Linked DNA regions of Caenorhabditis elegans. The protein of the gene in region 1 interacts with the protein of each later gene in a pairwise test. Each region holds a gene or a part of one and is shown in the gene's direction. Other genes may lie near its edges. The genes, in order: fbxa-153 and unc-13.

Region 1 (11,764 bases):
GAAAATTGCCAACGACATACCGAATAAAGAGCAATATGCAACTGAAAATAGGATATTTTTAGGAGTTTTTAGTGAGAAATATCTGGATCGTGTGAAGAAAACTTTAAAAAAATGGAAATATGACATTTTTTCATTGAAAATTAGACATTTTAAAAGTGGAGTAGCAAAATCTGAGCTTTGCTTTTTTAGACCCAAATGACCCAAAACTACCTAATTTCGTAATGAGACATTCTGAAATTATTGTTAAAGAGTTATGATGGTTCAAAATTTTAGAATATTCCTATTTTCAGCTAAAATCTCAATTTTTCCCTATTGTCAGTGTCGCAGCGGACGGAACTGATTTTATTATCCTTTATTAATTATTATCCTCCAATGTTTGTAAAACGTTTATTAGCTTTTTAAATAAATTCATATTTGTGCACCCATCGGCTGAAAATAAAAACGTCCTGAAAACATTATTGTATATGAACCTACCAGTTGCACAAGTAGCGACAAATTCGGGAACAAAAGTAGAATTCAAATTGATAATAATCAAGAACACAGAATCTTTACTAAAACATTCTGGAGTGGTCAATAAGTCCAGTAAAGAATAAAGAATCTCAAAAACTGCAATGTATATCATGAGAATTTTGTAGTTCCCTAATTTCTTTGGCGATTTTTTCCAAATTAAAATAATAAGGATGGCGTTGTTCAGCAATCCTAAGGAGGCCAAAAATCGCTGAAAAATCACACGTGCCGGCATGGAACGCTTTTTTCTGTTTTGTTAACGACTCTAGATCGACAACATTTGTATCTGTCAGATGGCTACGAAATGATTTCCTGTCTACCAAAAAATATCACATGTTTTGTAGCTGCGTGTTATTTGAGAATATTATTTGGAAATTTCTGTTAGGATTCAATAGTTTTGAGTCAATATAGATTTTTCCAGCAAAAAATGCAGGGACGGATTCCGAAGAACACACAGAAAGCATTTTTGGTGGACAGGAAATTGGAAGTGATCGAAGAGTAACACAAAGTGTCTACCATTTTGATCACTGTTTTGTAACGGTACCGAATATTTGATTCAGACTCGAAATGACCCAAAACACCAAATTTATAATGATCCTTCTCATTTTTAAATGTAATTAGGCAATTATTTTTCATTCTCCAAATTTTTTTATTTGAATCTTGCAGTGTTTTCAGATAAAACATTTATTAAGGATATTTTTTTAGTTGGGGACAGAATATAAACGGAGAAGGGAACGAACTAAATTATTAAACAAATTGCAAGATATTTCGTGAGGTCACGGGGGGGGGGCAATAGAGAAAATATTTTTCATGAAATTTTAGTAAGCTATTAAGTAATTTGACGAGAACTTGTAATTCCAGATGGTTGTACTCTAAACTGTATGGTTTCCTTCAAACCCTTAGAAAAGGCCGCTCGAGTTCCTAAAAAAAATTGTATGATCAGGTACTTTTTCAATTTCACAATTCTTACTTTTGACAGTATTCTTGTACTCCGACACAACGAACATGACAATAAATGAATCTGCAGCAGGATACAATGTGAAGCTGCATAACATGACACCAGATGGGAGGCTGACGTCTAGGTGAAACAGAGGAAGAAATATTATAATTGTGATGGGAATGAATAATATGATTGTAGGAGTGGTTATCTGAATTTCATGTGAACTTGGACGTTTTTTTTAATACATTCTAACCTGAAGCACGAGAGTTTTGAAAAACTGTTTGTGATGTTTTCGAAGAGTCTCGGAAAAATTCTTAATTTTATCCTCCATTTTTGTATGCATTGACCATCCACAGTAGAACATGATAGCATATTGAAAGTTGACAATTGAACAAATATTAAATATTCCCATAACATTTCTCCATCTTACTGATCCATCCACAGGATCGTAGGCAACTATGGCCATAGCTGGAAGCTCACTGATATTCGCATTATATCTGAGAAGCATATCTTCACGAAGATATTCATCAGTTATTTCGTCTCTTGCCAAAAAAAAGTAGGTTCCAAGAGAATATTGAAAGCCGAAAAACGCGCAATAGAAGAACCAAATAAGAGAATAGCATCCGTTGAAGTAGGCAAGTTTGTTCGTACTGAAATTTTTTAGAATTGTTTCAAGCTTGAAAGCGCATTTCTGAAATGTGAAATTTCTTACTCAAAAACTGCCCAATATCGATATATGAAATGCACTGATAATAGAGACATGGTTGCCGAGTGGAAAAATGTGTAACCGGCTAAATATTTTTTTTTAATGTTTAAAAGGGTATATCAATGCTAACCCAGTGGAATATTTCTCGACCATGATCCACTTAAACCAAAAGATTCTTCAAAACTGTAGAATAGAAAGCTAGCTTTATAGTTGTGAACATTCTGAATTAATAACATTTTCAGATTTTGCCACAAAGCGTATTATTACCGGGTACACAATTATCTCTACAGTTGCAAAAATCATTCCCAGCATTGTGAACGCACTGATCAGGTACTTGTAAGATCCGAAATTTTTCTGAGCACCGAAATAGTTCAAGAACAGTAGGCACAGGCCAGACATAAATGTTGTAACGAATCCAAGTTTTGGAATAAAATGGGTCACGTGTATCCAGAAAACGTATGATTCAGACATTTTGAAGAATCTTTGACAGTTGATAAATCACAATACGTCTTATTCAGTGGTATATATACTGATTGTATTGTATTCCATCCGTATATCTGCTGTAAATGTGACTACAAAATATTGTTGTTGCCGTCTGAATTCTAATTGATCCCAAGAACCAAATCATGTCTTGCCACGAAAACGGAAATATGTTCATGAAATTTTGTTGCAGGAAATTCAAACTAGATGACACATACCTGAAAATACAACTAACTTTTGAAAAGCGCCATCTATCAAGATAGGTATTGATTTTTTTAAAATAGATTTGTTAGTACCCTCGTTCCCAAACTTTCATTCCGAAGATCATGGCATCGGAATTCAGACAGTCAATATCAATAACAATATATTGTATGATCCAATTTCCACCAAAAATGACGTCAGAAAAATGTCTGAAATCATGAGATTTCAGGGCATCAATTCAATTTTTCAGCACTACACAATGATCAAACTTCGTTCGGCTTATGGAAACGCCACGTGCTCTCTCGTTAAACTTTCGAAACTCAATGACAATTTCTGCTCAAACTCCGAGCCTTGTGTTCAGTGTAATCAATATTTTTTGATGAAGTCGTCGATCTACTGAAACTTTAGAAGCAATTTATCGCCCACTTCCACTTGCTCTTTCGATGTTGGACCTATGTAAAAGGAAATATGTGTCCCCACAGGGGGACTCATTTGACCGCTCCTCTCCCCCTCCTCTCCAGTGTCTACTACCGTTTCCCTGAGTCTCTCAAGGGTTTCCCCATCTCTTATTTACTATTTCATCATCAGGCACCCCAGCAATTGCATATACATTTGCATAATTTCTCGAGATTGCTATTGCACTTTTTTTGGTTGTTTTTTTTCTGTTCTTTGTAATTTGCAATTTTGAAATTTTAAAGCCGTCTTTTTTAGAAATGACTGAATCAGTACTGGACAATCCAATTTTCGTTCGATCCTGTATTCTCTACGAAGCTCTTCACCGAAAGCCGATCGACGAGAGCTACAAGAATTTTTGCGAAAAACTAGGCGATGACGTCATGGACTATGTGGATTTCGAGTTTTGGTTCTATCGATTTTATGGAGGAAATCATGATTTGAATGATGATCGAATGTAAGTTTAATATTTTAAAACTTTTTTATTAATTAATGAATTTCAGGTTGGAATTCAAAAGTTTGTCAGACTTGCCCATCGAAATATTTCATAGGATTTTAAATGAACTGGATTTTCGCGATAGGTAAATTTCGAGTTTTTCAAAATTATTTTCTATTTCAAATTTTGATCCAAAATTTTTAGTTATCGAAATCAGAATATCCTCTTTGTTAAAGGACTAGCGGGCCTATGGGCCCGCCAGCCCTTCGGGAATGGGGATAGGGTTAATTCGCTCTAAGTTATTAGCAAGGTAGCTGGCGCAGGTTCTCGGCTTCGCCTCGAACCTGTTAACGGGTTATTCGAAATCTCTTTGAAATTGTTTCAGGAGTGGGGTATATGTTTAGAAAACTTGACTATTCAAGTTTGAGGCTTCTCCTCGAAGCTCTTACTGTGTAAAGTGAAATCTCTTTAAACTTTGATTCATTGCTCCAGGACCGACACTGTACGAATAACTTAGGCTGAGATTTTGTTCAAGAATAATTTGAATGTATTCAATAAAATAAGCGTGTTTTCAATCATCACTGTGAACTACAAAAAACGGTGAAGGAAAAGGAAAACTCATGAATACGGCCTGCTCTGCTTGGAATAGGATTAAAGCCAGCCCACAGTTTTCAAGAGTATTCGGGCCTGCGGCCCTCAAACCTGGTTATTAGGCTTGAGTGAATATCATATCTGCTTAGAATATGATCAAAGCCAGCCCATAGTTTCCAAGAGTGTTCGGGCCTGCGGCCCTCGAACCTGGTTGTTAGGTTTGAGTAAATAACAACCACGTCGCAGGCCTACAGCCTGCTCTGCTTGGAATAGGATTAAAGCCAGCCCACAGTTTTCAAGAGTATTCGGGCCTGCGGCCCTCAAACCTGGTTATTAGGGTTGAGTGAATAACATATCTGCTTAGAATAGGATCAAAGCCAGCCCATAGTTTCCAAGAGTGTTCGGGCCTGCGGCCCTCGAACCTGGTTGTTAGGTTTGAGTAAATAACAACCGCGTCGCAGGCCTACAGCCTGCTCTGCTTAGAATAGGATCAAAGCCAGCCCACAGTTTCCAATATTGTTGATAGCAAATCTGCGACTTGCCAGGCTTAGCAGTGGGTAGGGCGTAGATCGTAAGAGAGCGAAATTTCTATTTCAATTTAGTGTTTAAACCAAAATCGTATGGTGTTTTCAAATTCGAAAAATAACCAAAAAATAAACATTTCACTTTTTTGGAAAATCGTGAACGCCTGTGGGCCCCCAGCCCTTCGGGAATGGGGATTGTTTTAGAAAACTGAAAATAATAAAAGCTTGCTAAATCAAACTTATCTAAGAGTAATCGCATATCAGGCCTCCGGCCTGGCTTGGTATAATGATTTAAGGTTGACTGCGTCTTCTAAGAGTAAGAGTGCCTGCGGCACTTAATCCAGACAATCTGGGCTTGAAACAGTTGTAATTGCACAGCAGGCCTTCGGCCTGCAATGCCTGAAATAGATGTTCAAAGTGAACTGAATATTCTTAGAGTTAAAGTGCCTTTCTATGTTTTTTTGGGAAGAAAACATTTTCCAGCCACCCGCACGCATGCAGCAGTGAGGAGAGGTAAGGAGTTATGCACTAAGACTTCAATTCGTCATAACTTTGCTCATAGTAGAAGTTTGAAAAAAATAAAATAATATTTGAAATTGGCGTAAAAAGTAGAATAACACAGCGGTTATTATTTTAAAAATAACAAAAATTGAAACATATCACCTTCTGGGAAGGCCTGGAAGCTCAAAACTTCCACAAATGTGCTGAAAGTTGTCAAGACCGACCAAATTTAGTTTGTCTACCTTGCTTTAGTGAAAATTATCAAAATTAAAACATAAAATGAAAAGGATATTTGAAAACTTGTCCAGGAACAAAGGAAAACTGGATTTCCACATGCAAAAATTAAATAACCTATCTCCGCGAAAAATGATCGGATCGAGCTGTGATTTGAGATCCCATTTTAAATCATTCTATTAATTCCAAATTTAACATAAAAACCGGAACGATAGTGGAAAGTTTGTGAATTTTATGGAAAAATGTAAATTGTTTGAAAGAAGTGTTCATTTTTTCTATTTTTGAGACTATTATTTACCTTTTTTGAAACAAAAAGTTATATTTTCCGCTTCCTCTCGATGTGATGAACATTTTTCCAAAAAAAATTTTGAAAAAGAAGCAAGACTAACGGAGATATGACCGAAACAATGGTGAAAATGTGGATGAAAACACACCAAATATGAAAAGGGGAGGTGGGTGTGTGTGTGTGAGAAAAGGGGGGAGGTGCAGAAATTTTAGCAAAACTTTAATTATCGTTTTAAAAATAACGAATAGAGATATCACAATGAACTTAGATACAGTGGATAGGTATTGAAAAGGAGAACGTAAGTTTCGAGTCTCAAACGTTTTGAACATAAACTCGAATTTTCCTTCAATTTAAAGTGGTTTTCGGCCAGTACTTCGGTGTGCGCAAAAACAAGAAGGGTGTGGTTTTCCGCTTGTGGAGCCGACAGGATGATCCAAAATCAACCCCCTTTTAGATAAACACACGTCGCTATATTTTGTGAACGTGGAGAAAAAAGAATTTCAAAAATCGGTTCAGTGAGAGCCGAGATATAAACGTTCAAAGTTGTTGTTCCATTTTTTCGGACATTTTTTGAACATTTTTTGAACACCGAAAACGCGTGTGTGTGGCAAGATGGGGGTTTTAGGAAGGAGGCAGAAAATAAAGCCAAATTAAATACATTTCTGAAACATGAGCTCCTCCCACATCTTGGCAAATCCCCCCAAATTAGGCATGATCCAAGCGGATCTTATTTGGGGATTTCCTATACATATTCTGGAAAGTTTTACTACACAATTGTTTCAAAAAGTGAACTCACAAAGTCCCGGAAAATTTGAATACTGCGCTGCAATACCAAGAAAGGGGTGGCGCTTTACTAATTTGTTCGGCTCATATTTTTGGAAAAAAGTAATTCTCTCACTAAAAAACAACACAAAACATCTCCGGAAATGAGAGTCCCAAAAATTGGCTACCTATTGGCTAACTGTAACATTTTTCAGAATGATCCTTCATAAAGTTTCCCAAACCCTGCGATCAGTTGTCGGGGATTTTGAAGTCATATGTCATAAGGAAGTAAGTCTCAGACTGTGCAGAGATTGGTCGATTCTGAATTTTTCTCATCACAACGTCAAATACCAACGATGTGATGGTGGTTGTATGGTGAAGTATGAAGATGTCGACAAAGGTGTTCCGTTAGGAGATCAGCTGGAATTGGCACTGCATGATTTATCAAATTCGATGAAGCATCCGAAACTTCAACTCAACAGTTTCGCGATCACATTTTCAAGTGCCCTTGAGCAAGACGCCCGGAAGAAGGTGATCGAGACTTTTCATTCTTGGAAATGGCCGAGAATCAGAAACTTCACGTTTAACGGAATTCACCAATCGGAAATTAAGACCACTTTAGGTTGCCTCAATTCGGAAGCAATCCAGACGATTTCACTAGATGTTTCTCGAGTTTCAGAAGATTTTGTGATGAATACAGGTGTCTATAGTTTGGAACAATGGAAAAGGGCAAAATCGATTTCAATTTGTGGTGACTGCAAACTTTCGATTCCTTTTGCAAATTTGGCTCATTTGGCGGGATTCGAGATATCACTAAAGTCCTTCACAAGAGAATATGCAGTGGAAATTAAGAATGTGAGTTTTTAACATTATATCGAAAGAGAACAAGGTGTTGAAATGTTTTCTTTTATTTTACTTTGAATGACCCACAAATTTTTCTTGGCAGTGTGCTAACTTTTCCGACGGCTGTGGCACAAAAAAAAAAGAAAATTGGGGATTTTAGTTGAAATTAGGCCATAGTTTCAAGTTTTTGACCCGCCATAAACAAATTTTACTGATTTTTTAGAAGTGTCTCGTTATGAAATTCGGTGTTTTGAAGCTAGTTTTTGGAAATTATTTTTATTTCGAGCCGGAATTGGTGAAAACTCAGTTTTCACTCATTTTTTTTTTGGTATTCGTCGACCTAAAAATAAGTTTTTTATCCTTTCATGTTGTGTTTAAAAGTACAATTTTTCCACATTGTAATGTAAATGAAAACAATTTTCCAAAACTTTTCGAAAAGCTTTTAATAATATTTGGTAATTTGAGCATCATGTGAGCATTACAATAATTTACAATCAGCTTAATTCTTTCAGTATCTCGACAACTTTCCAAACAAAATACAATCGGGAACTTTTCGAAGCATCATCACGGACCCCATCGAAATCGGGAAGGTCTTCAACCCAGATTATGCACTTGGCTCCGAAAACTCACTGGATTACAATACATCAAATTTCTGTTATACTATCCAATGCGGTCCTTACAGTTTTCGAATTTTGAGAAAAGCTGATAAACAGTCGATTCCTGTAGTTATGTAAATTGAATATTCTGTAAATACTTGAACCGTAGTTTTAGTGAATAAATTATTTGATCTCAACTTTTGCGAGTTTTCAAAAAATTGAAATAAGGCTTTTTGGTAAAGCTTTTTTCGAGACTGGGTTTTTCGGGGCCCGGTAATGTTTAGGGCGTAGCCTATCCTGTATTTTTCCTGCACAAAACAATCACTCTAAAAAACCCAAGGCTGGTTCCAATAAAAAGTTGTATATTCAGATGGTCATATTTGATGAAACATAGACATTTTTGCCAGATGTATAATTGTACGTTTCGGTGCCCACCCCCTCCGCTCTTGGTATCACGAGTTCCTTTCAACAGATGTAAGTCTCACAATCACACATATTCTCCTTTCTAATCTAGCCGCCTTTCTCGTTTTTCAAGCCTGACGATTTTCAAGACAGAAGCTGCCCAAGTTGTTTGGAAAGTTTGCCATAAATATTATGAGGAAGCCGAAAACAACTATTTTTTAAATGTGTAAAATTTTCCACAGCTGTTCAAACAACTATTTTTTGTAACAGCTGAGCTTTTGGACCTCACTACCCAGCACGGTTAACAGATGTATTCACCATCTCACATGCTTCATCCAATAGCTCCGTCATTTTGCTCCACTTTTGGAATACACTTCTTACAGCTCTAACCCAATCACTTACGGCTCAAACATGGTTGCCACTCCTCTTCATAACATGAAAATAGCAAGTCGCGCCGTTCTTCTCTACCAGGTGCTCGACAAGAAGGGCGTATTAGAAACTTTCTCGGAACTTAAGCATCATTCTCCTGGAAATGAAATTGTCAGATTTTCAGACGCAGAGTTCTGGATTTCGCGATTCGAGAGCGGAAACCACGATTTGAATTATGATAAGAGGTAACGCCAACTATAGTGAGTTGTAGTTGTTATTCTCTCAGATTGGAACCGCTATCTGCAATTTGCTCTCCTATACAGATTCTTCGAAAAACTGCACTACGGCTACGCAATGTTTTTCGGTTAGTTTTTGGTCTCGGCGATTTCCGGGACCATTTTAGATCTGCTCTAAGAAGATGGTAGTTTTTATACTTTTGCTTGAAATTTTGCTCGAATTATCTCAATCCCTAAAAAAATTTTGCTCTCGAAACCGGGGAGGTTGCGAAATATTACTAAATACTTTCCAGACCCCGTAAAGTAATCCACATCTCCGACAGCCAGGTCGCAATGCGAGCTTGCATACTTTTTGACGCCCTAAACGAGATACCAATATTCGAATCGTATCGTAAATTCTGTAGACTTGTTTCCAACTCCATGGAATACCGCGATTACGAGTTTTGGTACTACCTGTTCTACCATGGAAATAAGGAATTGCATTATGTTCAAAGGTTGGGAAATTATTTTGAAAACTTTCAAAAAAGTGCTCGAATTTCAGTGAGGAGCCACCGCAAACTTCTTTTGTCGACTTACCGATACAGATCGTCAGCGATATTTTGGATGGGTTAACTGTACTGGATCGGTGAGCATGACATATATATATATATATATATATATATATATGGACCTATTTCTACCTCATAAGTTACAGAATGATAGTCCGAAGAGTCTCCCGCAAGCTTGAAGCTCTTGTTGATAAAAATCACCACAGTATCAAGAGTGTTGCTGCCCATTCGCTTCACGATGAATCCGAATGCAAACTGGTCATTGATGGTGATTTGGTGGAATACTACAATTCTCCAGAGGGATGCAAGATAAGGAAAGATTGTAGAATGAATGGAATACTCATTGGTAGTGGTGACTGTTTGGAACTTGTCATGGCAGATTTAAAAGCAATTCTCCAAAATCCGAAGCTCAAATTGAGAATGTTTAATATGAATATGAGATGTGATATTAAGAGTGAGGAATATCGCGTCGAGTATGGCACAAGACTCAAGAAGGTTCTGAAATTGTTGCCTCATTTGTTGGATGTGAAGAAGTTGAAACTTGATAGCAACTTCTTGAGGGATAAGGAAAACAATTACGAACTTGCGTCAGTGCTTTCTCATTTCAAACCTGGAACGCTTGAACATATGATCTTGGGGTTCCATCGCGAGTCGGATATTCCCGGGTTCGAAAAAGCTGTCCGTTTGGAACAATGGTTACAGGTTAAAAACATTAAAATGTATTGGAAGGTCGATGGGCGGATCCCTCTTGAGCATTTTCTTCACTTTACGAGTGTCAATCTGGAAATTTGGAACGGTTCAAGAAGAAATGTTATTGATATTCGAAACGTAAGATGTTTGTTTTGAAAGGGTAACATCTCAACGAGGTATTTTGGCTGCTCATATTTCGCTTAATTGTGAAAAATTAAAATAAGAAGTATGAGCCTAAGCCTAAGTCTAACTAAGTCTAAGTCTAAGTCTAAGCCAAAGCCCAAGTCTAAGCCTAAGCCTCGTCTAGGCCTGTTATTAATTTTCAATTAGCTAAACTCATTTCAAATTTGTTTACAACAACTAAAGAAGCAAATATTCTAAATTCCAAGAAATATATCAATTGGTACCAATGTACATATGTATGTATTCATTACTACGTTCCCGTTTCACAATAGTTTTGAAAGCCAAACACATAGAAATGACAAAATGTAATTTTGTTTTCAGATTCTCATAGAATCTCCACACTTTCGATACGGCAGATTCAAGTTCTCTCCAATCACAATCAGAGGTCTTGAGCAGATGTTTGACCCAAACTTGGACAGGCTTCCACTCGACTGCCGTATTAATTACCGCACTAGGCACCGTGTTTTTGTGATTAATTTTGCTTATCACAGTGAAATTCTCATTTTTCCTAACTTTACTGCATGATTTCAGTTGTTGTCTAATCTCCTTGTTCGCAATAAAAGTAATTTCTTAACAAAATATGGTGGTAATCAACACGTCATACGGTATACTTTAAAGTTGCCAAATATCATAGTAAAATGTATTGGAAAAATCTTTGAAATTTTCATATTTACTGTCAAATATGGGCAACGACTAACTTAAGCATTTCTGGAAAAAAAGTCCAAAAGATTTGACTGAAAATTTTGAAAATTTTTGGAGTTGGACTATTAGATTATTCATACATTGTTCCCACTAACGATATAGTACCTTCAAGCTATACTTAGACTTTTTTCACCCTGTAACCCTTCCTCTCACGTGCTCGCGACGACTCCGCATTCTCATTTTCCATGCCCTCTTTTCAGATTCGTATCTCTTTTCTCTATGTCACTGGAGCACTTCTCTCATTCCCTCGTGCTTCTCCATAAGACCTCCCAACAAGAATAGCCACTGCGTATTTGCGTATTCTTTTTTCTTCGAGAGTGCTGTTGCACTTTTTTGTTGTCTTCGTTTTTTTTTTTTAGGCAGACTCATATTTTGTTTTTATTCGTTTAGAAATGGCCGAATCAGTACTGGAAAATCCAATTTTCATTCGATCATGCATTCTCTACGAAGTTCTTCACCGCAAGCCAATACGTGAAAGCTATAAGAATTTCTGCGAAAAACTAGGCGATGACGTCATGGATTACATAGATTTTGAGTTCTGGTTTTATCGATTTTATGAAGGAAATCATGATTT
Region 2 (9,617 bases), on another chromosome or scaffold:
TTATTTTAAATTTCAAATGGTTTTTTTTCAAGAACTTCTCTATATTTTTCCATATATTCAACTTTCCATTAAAGACGATTGAGCTAGGCCTACCACGCAGATATTAAAAGTTAATCTTGAACGGAAGACGATTAGAGATTCAGATGACACTTGGGGAAATGATGATGACTGCTTCATCTTCTATCCCTTCGTATCTTCAAAGTGAGAAAACAATTTTTCATTCTGCAAAAACAATCTCTTTTGGCGATTGAATTTTTAAAAAAAATGACGCTATGCTAATTTTTATTCCTAGATTTATTTTTCTAAGATGTTCCAGTGTGTTAAACATTTTTAAAGAAAAGTTTTGCAAGGAAACCATTTTGAGATTTAGAACACCTTTCTTCAAATGTTCCAAAATTTGTACGGAAGAACGAACGCTTTTACTCTATCAAGTTTATGTATGTATACTTTTCACTAACAAATCAGTAATAAAAATTAAAAATTATTGATTTATTGATTTTTAAATTGAAATCAATCGTTGTTATGGAATTTTTCACACCTGGGCTATTTCAAATTCTAAGTTATTACAAGCTAACACACTGTGGCTTTCTCGACATGAGCAAATTGGAAAAGTTCAAATCCACCAGAATTGATGAATATTTCATTTAAAGCTTTTTATCAATGCTCAAATGTTTTTTCCGCTCGAATAAATCTAACAAAAAATGACGATGATGAGATGGTGAGATGAAACAAAACGTTTTTCTTTTTGGTTCTCTTTTTTCCTTTTAAAAGATTATATTAAAGATATATTATAGCTATATCCAACTCATAAAACAATTTTGTTGTACAAAACTTTTATTTTCAATTTTCCGATCAAAAAATTTATCCATAAATAGTGAACAAGTGAAAAACAATTTTCAATTATTTTTCAGCTGTTTGATTTGTGTATTTTATGTGCAGTCGCATTTTATCGATCATCATTGTCCGTCCAAAGTTATTCAAAATATTTTTTGAAAAATTAAATCGCATTTTCAAAAGGTTTCTGAGATGCAAATGATTTCAGATTGTAAGTTTTCATCAAGTGATTAGAAATTTTAAACTCCCGTTTTGAAATTTTGATTTCATTATGGCTTCAAATTTCCTTTCAAAATATCAAACCCTTCTCATCTGCTATGTTATAATGATTTGTTTTTTAGTTAGAGAAATGGTACAATTTGATATTTGTTAATATGTAAACATTTACGTCAACATGTCAAAGCGTTATTGTAACTTTCGAGAAATACGAGAAAATTGTTTCAGTTTGAGAAAATTCGATGCAAAATGCTCGAAAATGTCGATAAGTGTGCTGGGTTTTTTTAGAATTTAGAATATGAAATATTCAGACACAAAATTTCTGAGAGAATCTTCATCTTAACCGTTTGATGCATTACGACCATCCATTTAAAAACTTTTTGATAATTTTTGTGACTGATCCTTTTACAGATTTTCTTCTTCAAATATAAAAATTTCAGAACTAATTTTCGATATTTAAAACATGCTGGAAACTATCTAATTTCCTAGAAAACATCTTGATAATTAAAAATATCTTTTTCTGGAACACAACCCTTGAAAATGGGTTCTTCGTATGATTTTAAAACCTCATCGGAACACAGAATTTGATATGAATTCCCATAGCAAGTCTGTTTTGAAGCATTGAGTGGCATCTAGGTCTAGAAATTGGAATGGAGAGCACTAGAGCGTGAGAACCGTCCACATACACAAACACATATAAACGTCCTCCTATTGTCCATTTCTGAAACCCAATTGGTGAAAAAGTAAGAGAGAGAGAGGGACACCAAAAGAGAAATTGTGGTGAAGGGAAGAGTGGTGGTAGTGGGTGCAACTATCTCTGGGTTCTCCGAGAATTCAGTGCTCCGTGCTCCTCTAGCTTGGCTCCGCGACGTCTTCTGCTACTCCGTCCTCAATTTTTGCGAAGGGGGGAGTGGCGAATAGGGGGTAGAGAGCGGGAGCAGAAGAAGAAGAAAGCACAAGCTCATCCAGTCGCCGTCTCCACACTCTCCGTTATACTTATTCCGGTTCTCTGCGTCTATTAGTTTGAATCACTATCTCACTGGTTTCTTTAGTATATACTCCAAAAAATGCTACTTTTTCGCGCATTTTGCGTTCGTTTCTTTTTTTGGACTTTCTTAATCAACTTTTTTTGTGGTTTGATCAAGATTTTTTCGTTTAGGTTTGGAATTTTAGACAAAAATTATATTAAAGAGTTTACAGCTTTTTTGTCCATAAGAAGTTCATGTTGAAGTTTTGTTTTTTTATTGTAAAAATAATGTAGCACCAGTCAGGATTTTGTCAAAATCAAAAATAAAAGTGCTTAAATGAGACCCTAAAAAATTGTTTCAGATTTTTCAAATGTTCAGTCAAAATGATGTTATACTGCCAAAATTTAATTTTGCAAACTCTTTAATTTTTTTGACTGGTAACAAAAATTTCGTTTTTTTAATTTCGTTTTTTTTTTTTTTTTTTTGAAAAAATTTTCACTATGTTCCACTTTTGAATGTTAAAATCACTGAGTTACTAACACATTCTTGAAATTTTCTCATTTAAAGAATAAAAACAACTTTGACAAGAGAAAGAAGTAAAACAATATAGTTTTTCTAAACTTGTATTTACTTTTTAACCCAGTTTTTCGTATTTCATAGTAAAAAAAGTATAGAAAAAAGTGATGCATTTTTCATTATAATGCAGAAGGCACCTCGAGGCTATACGCATTTTCTTAGCAAAAAAAGGAGCTCATTTTTTCTGTATTTTATGACTTTTCATCATGTCATGCATATAATTTTTTATTCATTGTTATGTAGGAATTGAGAGTTTTGTTTTTAATTTAATTTTTATATAAAATTAAGGGGCTTTGAACACGTTCTATCTATAACTTTCTTTGAACAAAAACTACAAAACACAAATTTCAAAGATCTCTGGATCTGTCTGATTAGGCTGTTAGTTCTTTTGAACTTACTTACTTCTGCTTAATCCAATTATTTGTACCACTCATCACTGACCTTCAGTTTAACTTTTGTCTATAGGTTAAACTTGATCTCAAGCTTTAACTCTGCACCAGGAACTTGAACCTAAACCTGATCTCTAATTGATTCGCTAAAACCTTAAAATTCTGAAAATCCTGATCCAAAAACTCTCCAGGAGACCAAGTTGTTCTCGGCATTGGAACAACTGGTCGGCGGCGCGTACCCATCTGGGGAGGCCGCTTCCTCTTCAACCATCGCCCAAGAATATGCCACGTTTCAACAATCAGAAGGGATGGATGACGTTGGAGATTACAATGATGATCAACTTTCAGATGGCATGAGCATGAGGTTGCTCTGCATTACCAGTGAGTTGTTATTTGTGTTCTTCTTGCCGTCTCGAGAATACATATATACGAGACCATCGACACTCAGTTATGGACGAGATGTTAACATTGATTGTTTCAGTTAAAAAAGCACGACTTCAAGGAGCTGTCGGTGAGTATTTCTATTGATTTTATAACTTAAAATATATAGTTCAGTTTTCATTTAAAATAATTTATTTCGTTTGAAAAATACTGGAAATTCCCTGAAACTTGAAGTAGATAATGTAACAAATATTCTGAGAGTTCTGCCAATTTTTTGAAAAAAATCTGAAAATGTAACAGTGTGCCAGTACTGTTACAATTAGTCTCGATGACCATAGAACCAAAAGATGCTCCTGCTCCAAATACTTTTAAAAAATCATAGTCAGAGCTAACTGAAAATCAAGTGGCTCTTCCACTTTATGAATCATCACTTTATCTCAACAAAAAACTATTAACTTGCCAGATGTCTGAAATGTGGATCTGACTTTTTTTAAATGAAATGTCCACCTCCTTTGGGTGAAAGACTAAAAAATCTGAATAAATCCCTTTCTGCAAATCGAGAAACGATCATGCGTGGCGTTGCTCCGATTTGTAGTTGTCGCCTGAGAAATTCATCATTCGTGACACCTGTCATTCCAGTTTCACGGGGCGACCTCCCGAATAATAAATCTCATCGTGAAACGCGCGTTTTCATGCTTCGATGACACACGAAATAATGCACAACTTATACCTCAACATCACGTACAAGATGTGCTTAGTATTCTGAATGTATGTGTATGCACCCGCCTCTTCTATTTTCCCATCCCTTTTTTTTGGCAAATTTTAATCAAATTTTGGGACCTTTTTAGAGTAAGATAAGAGAAAAGAGTCGTTGAAGAGGCAGGAAAAGTTTAACTACATTCGTGAGCAAGTGAGTAAGTAAAAAGTAAGAAACCGGAAAAAAGTTGCCAGGAAATTAAACATAGAAGCACCGGGGGCACCTCTAAACAAGAGAGTAAGTCACTGGGGAAAACGTTTGAAATGGAATGACGAATGAATGAGGGCACCGGAGACGAAACAAGATACGGTGGACTGGAAGCTTAAAGACCAAGAAAAATGAAATGAAACTTAAACTTTGTTATTTATCATGTACGTTAAGCTCAAGAAAAAATTATGGAATTAAAATTTTAAAAAATTATTAAAAATTAAGCGAAACATATATTTCCAATGCTTTTGAAATAATTTTTGATATTTCATTTAATTTTGAGAATATAGAACAAATGTTTTCGTTTTTTTAAGTATTAGTAGTAAAGAATGTGTCTGAAGTTACACATATAGTTCGAAAAACCCCACATTCTAAACGTAAGTTGACAAAATCCCGCTAAAAGTACCCCATCTTTAAAGCATATAGTAAGAGCATATAGTAATAGTAAGAATACAACCAGCTTGTTCAAAAAATTTAACAAATCGTTCAATGTTTAGTAGCTTTTTACATTTACTATAAATCTCATGAGAAAGAACTTTAAAGATTCTTGATCTTTCACTCAAGTTTGAGCCAGAAATTGAGTTATAATTCACGTTGTTCTCTTTTTTTTTTTCTTTTCAACTAAAAAAAATATAGCTTCTTTTTTTATTGTTCCCCTGGGTACAAAAGTTTAACTGAGCGTCCCAGTAATTTTCATGAGAGCATATTTATAGTTAACGTGTTACATTCTAACTCTTGTTTTAGGACCCAATTGTTTTCAACTGTCCCATTTTTAGGATTAGCCAATAAGTTGTCCAGCAGTAAAAAAATTTTGAAGTTGCGATTTTATTTAGGATTGGAGAGATTTTGCAGATTTATAATCTTCTCTAGATTTTTTCAAATTTCTTTTTGGAAATGAAATCTCAACAACTTTTCACCTTCGTTTTACCAAAGTCTTATCAAGTTTTGATTTTTAAAATTTTGATTATCAAAACTTGGATTGAGTTGAAATTTTCTATAAATTTTAAAGAGGTTTTGTACAAGCATTAACGTTTCGCGCCCTCCCTATCATTAGAGCATGTTTTTTTTCAGTTTTTAAATTTTTGAAAAACAATTTAAATGCCTGATCTCAGATGAATTCAACTCGTACGTGACGGTGAAGCTGCAGACTGTAAAATCAACAACTGTGGCTGTGCGTGGCAACTTACCATGCTGGGAGCAGGAATTCATTTTGTAAGTTGTCATTGACAGGTGAAATACGGTAAAGGAGACCGATTTTTGTAAATGTTATAAAAAAAGAACAGCTGAAAATAGTAATATTTGATATTATGGAAGGAAAAATACCATTATGCGTAAATTGGTGTTATTTTGCCTCCTTTTTTTAGTTTTGGAACGTTTTACTTGTTTTTTTTTCATTACACTTACAATTATTTTATTAAAATAACAACAATTATATTTGAAAACCAATTAATCAAACATTAAGGTTTCAGCTAAACCACATCACCTCATATTTAATTAATTATTTCAGTGAAACAAATCGACCTGACGACGGAATGGTACTCGAATTATGGGCCAAAGGCGTTTTATGGGACAAATTAATAGGTGTTCATTATATGCCACTTTCGGAGATTAGATACAGGTAAAATTTTTTTTTAATTTCCAGTCGTCAGTTAAAATCACTCTAAAACCAATACTAAAATGGCAACATACTTTAATACAATTTTACGAAAAAATATGAACGTTTCTTATTTACAATGGAAAAGTGCAATTATTCAGTTTTCGCCACCTATAATTGTCGTAATTGAGCGGAAGTGGTTTCTAACTTTTAAAATTAATGTATCAGTTTTCTAAAAATACCCCATTGATTTTCAGCAATGCAGCAGGTTCGGGTCAATGGCTTCAAATGGATCATGAACTTGAAACAAGAAATGGTCAAACTGTAGGAACACGTGGTCCAACAGGTCATAACTTGTTGACTGATGTTCGATTTGAGCTTCCTTTTGGTGAGTGGTTGTTATTCAGAATTATAATTTCTTATAGTATGGATTTTTGTTGATATTCCCCTCCTCTGTGATTAAATCTTAATTATTTTATGCTATTATATATTCTTATATATTTCTAAATATATATATTCTAAAAGCCTGATCATGCTACTTGCTGAAGCACATTGAGCTAATTGCTGTTCATAATCAATTTACAATTTAACTTAATTAATTGCATTCAGAAACACCTAATCTAAACCAATTCAAAATTATCTTGATATTGTTCAAAACTGAACAAACTATTCAGAAGTTAGCGGTAACAAGCTCAAAATAAAAATTATCAGATTCTCCTGTATTTGCTGATAAATTCACAGTTGAAGTAATCCTTATCTTTAACGCTGAAAAATATTAGATAATATTTTACTGTTGAAAAAGTTTTGGAAAAACCAACGACAATTAAGATAAGAGTTGTCAATGTAAAGCAAATGGATGCAAGACTAAAATACGAGATTCCATCAGATTGATCCGTTGTTATTGATCATGCAACACGATAGACACACAATCTGTTACAGTTTTTTAGAATTTTATGAACATTTTCCAATATTCTAGTGAAACCTAATTGTTACCATAAGATTTCTGACATGCATTTTTAACCTAAAAATGTTACTGTCAAATTCCAAAACGTTCTTTCCCATAAAATTTTTGGAATATCTTTTTCTAAAACGCTTACAATTTTTTCTCTTTTCTTCTTTCTTTCAAAAACTGTTTCCTTCTATTTTTCCATTCACATCGTATCGGTTTCTTGACACGTCTTCTTCTCTCTTTATATTCCACGTTCCATCCGTTGTTTCTCCTCTGAACAATTCCAAGTGTACCTCATACATCAAAAACGTCGAGCACTTTAGGCTTCTTCGTCTCCATGATTCACCTGAGCCTTTCTAGTTCTCTTTTCGAAGCTCCGTGTTTCCTATACATTTTTTGAACCATTTTGCGAACAAAATTTGAAATAAAATAGAGAAGCAAATTATCAAAAAATTATAATGGTATCTTTTTTTCCTTTTCTTCCCTTATGACTCTTCATTAGTCAAGTGTGACATTGAAATTTCATTACAGCATGATAACTGACAAAATTATTTTTTGCATTTATTCTAACAATTTGATTTTTTGACTGGAATTTTTTAGATATGTCAGGTGGTTTAGTACTAGACATGTTTTGCAGCCAAAATTTTATGAGGATGACTCTAAAACTTCTGAAGCAGCTCGGAACCAAGTTCCCAGTGTAACCTTGATTATTCTTTGCATTTTCTAATTTTTTTTTTGCAAATCACTGTTTCAGTTTACATACTAATATTTGTTATTTTTTACTCTAAACGATATCCATGTCTCAAAGTTTTGTTTTGTTTTGTTGAAATCTCCATTCATTTGTTCAAAAATAGTTCAGTCGTTTCCAGTCAGTTACCGAAAGAAATCTGAACAAAAAAATCAAAATTTCTGAAAATTTGGAATAGCCGTTTTAGTCTTCATTTCTCGAAAAGAAATGTGAGAGAGTATCTGACAACGCTTCCCATGAGGGAATACTCTTGATACTTTGCACAAATTCGCCGCTCAAGAGCTCCGATGACAAAGAAGAAGAGGAAGAAAATGCAGATCACACAAGCAGCCACTTGTCTCTAAATCCCACTCAGATTCAGATAATTTTCAATTTTTAAAACTTTTAACTTCAAAGAACTTCTACTCAGAAGATGTCTACATTTTGAAATTTCCCGAGCTTCAATTGTTTTTTTTTCGAGTTTTGGTGATGCAGCTCAATTTAGTAAAAATACGATAATACCAAAAACTCCGTAAAACCTCGTTTTTGCTTCATTCCAATATTTTTGAGAAATAAAAATGCAACGGTGGTAAAATAACAGAGAATAAGGTGAATGTATTCAGATTTAGCTCGGCGATAAATCTTTCACAAAGCCCCCGGCCAAGACACTAATTACGAGCCGACTGACTCTGCTCCCCGTTTTTCGCTTTTCGATTTGCTCACAAATAATGCACGGCGGTTCTGGAGCTAGCTTCCAACGGTATCACGGAGTTCACTTTTTTTTGTTTTGGAAATCATGATGGTAGTTTTTCTTTTTAATAGGTTAAATCATAAGTTTGCTTGTTGCTTTTTGAATTTACAATTAAAAATGACCTTCCGTACTAAAATTATAAAATATATTTTCAAAAATTTTTGATTTTTTTATAGAATGCAAGTATTAATTCCTCAATTTTCGTCAAACTTAATTTTGGAAGTCGATCAAAAAATTATTCATCGGTTTTAATATTTTAATGATACTTTGATTATTTGTATGTCAAAATTGTAGGCTTTTGCACATCCACTGACCACTGACACATGACCATAGCAGTAATTTTTTAATCCTAATTTATTCGATAGTTTGACAATTGTCGAAAACATGACCGAAAACTTGAAAAATTCAAAAAAAAAACTCAGTTTTTAAATATGTTGGACTATTTTCTACTCATTTATGGGGTTATTCAAGTTATGTAGCAAAATGTATTTAAATACGTGTTTTTATATACTTGAATACAGTTGTGACGTAATTTTTCTACACTTTTTAATTTTCCGCCACTACTTGAATAACCCCATTAGACAAAATCCACCTACTTTGAATGCCTATAAAATGAAATTCGCCCAAAAAATTCCAAAAAATTCCAATGATACAAATTTTACTAATACTAACTGATTTTCATTCGGAAAATTAAAAAAACATTCCTTTCTCACATCTTGACAAGCTAGAAAAGGTGCTCGTAAAATATGGAAGTATTAGATTTGCGCCGGTGTGTTTTTTTTTTCTAGAAAATTGAACCTAGGAAAACCTCAATTTTCTTTCTTTCTTTTTTCTTTTTTGGATCTTGTAATAAACCCAACTCTTGCATTTCGAAAAAAAAAAGAAAGAGGAAAAGTTTTGAAGTGAATACCCAAAAACAAAATTGACCCAAGTTTGAAGTCGTTAACTGATAATTGCATATTGTTCTCTTCATTTCCTATTCTGCCTTCTCTTTTCAACTTGTTGCCGTCTTTCATTTTTGACATATCAACTGCATAGAAGCTTCAACTTTTCTTCGGGAGGAGACAAGGCTCGGCTCCTAATTTGGCACACATACTTCTTCTTCTGCTTCTTCCTTCGATGTCAACGTCTTCTTCGTCTTCTTCGTATTCTTCGGTGACAACGATGGCGCCAAGAAGCAAACGACAAAAAGACGAAGAAGTCGTTTTCCACATCATCTTCTGCTTCTACTACTCCCTCCCTTATGTTACTTTTCTTCTCCATTCTCC

What was found.
Region 2: the proteins of fbxa-153 (region 1) and unc-13 interact in a two-hybrid assay, tested with the Caenorhabditis elegans proteins (one study listed by BioGRID).

What each region holds. Positions count from the first base shown.
Region 1 is NC_003283.11:15,602,164-15,613,927, reverse strand, and holds fbxa-153 (F-box domain-containing protein), read left to right. Parts: upstream 1-3,543; 5' UTR 3,544-3,547; coding exon 3,548-3,744; intron 3,745-3,790; coding exon 3,791-3,868; intron 3,869-6,836; coding exon 6,837-7,476; intron 7,477-7,976; coding exon 7,977-8,198; 3' UTR 8,199-8,255; downstream 8,256-11,764. Other genes in the region: str-263 (Serpentine receptor class r-10), read right to left, coding at 1-41, 475-742; str-12 (Seven TM Receptor), read right to left, coding at 1,337-1,428, 1,478-1,655, 1,701-2,097, 2,160-2,238, 2,284-2,374, 2,421-2,624; fbxa-154 (F-box domain-containing protein), read left to right, coding at 8,874-9,076, 9,118-9,195, 9,361-9,561, 9,609-9,692, 9,762-10,443, 10,810-11,013; fbxa-152 (F-box domain-containing protein), read left to right, coding at 11,583-11,764.
Region 2 is NC_003279.8:7,419,494-7,429,110, forward strand, and holds the start of unc-13 (Phorbol ester/diacylglycerol-binding protein unc-13), read left to right. Parts: upstream 1-3,291; coding exon 3,292-3,364; intron 3,365-3,464; coding exon 3,465-3,494; intron 3,495-5,440; coding exon 5,441-5,540; intron 5,541-5,835; coding exon 5,836-5,946; intron 5,947-6,179; coding exon 6,180-6,310; intron 6,311-9,617.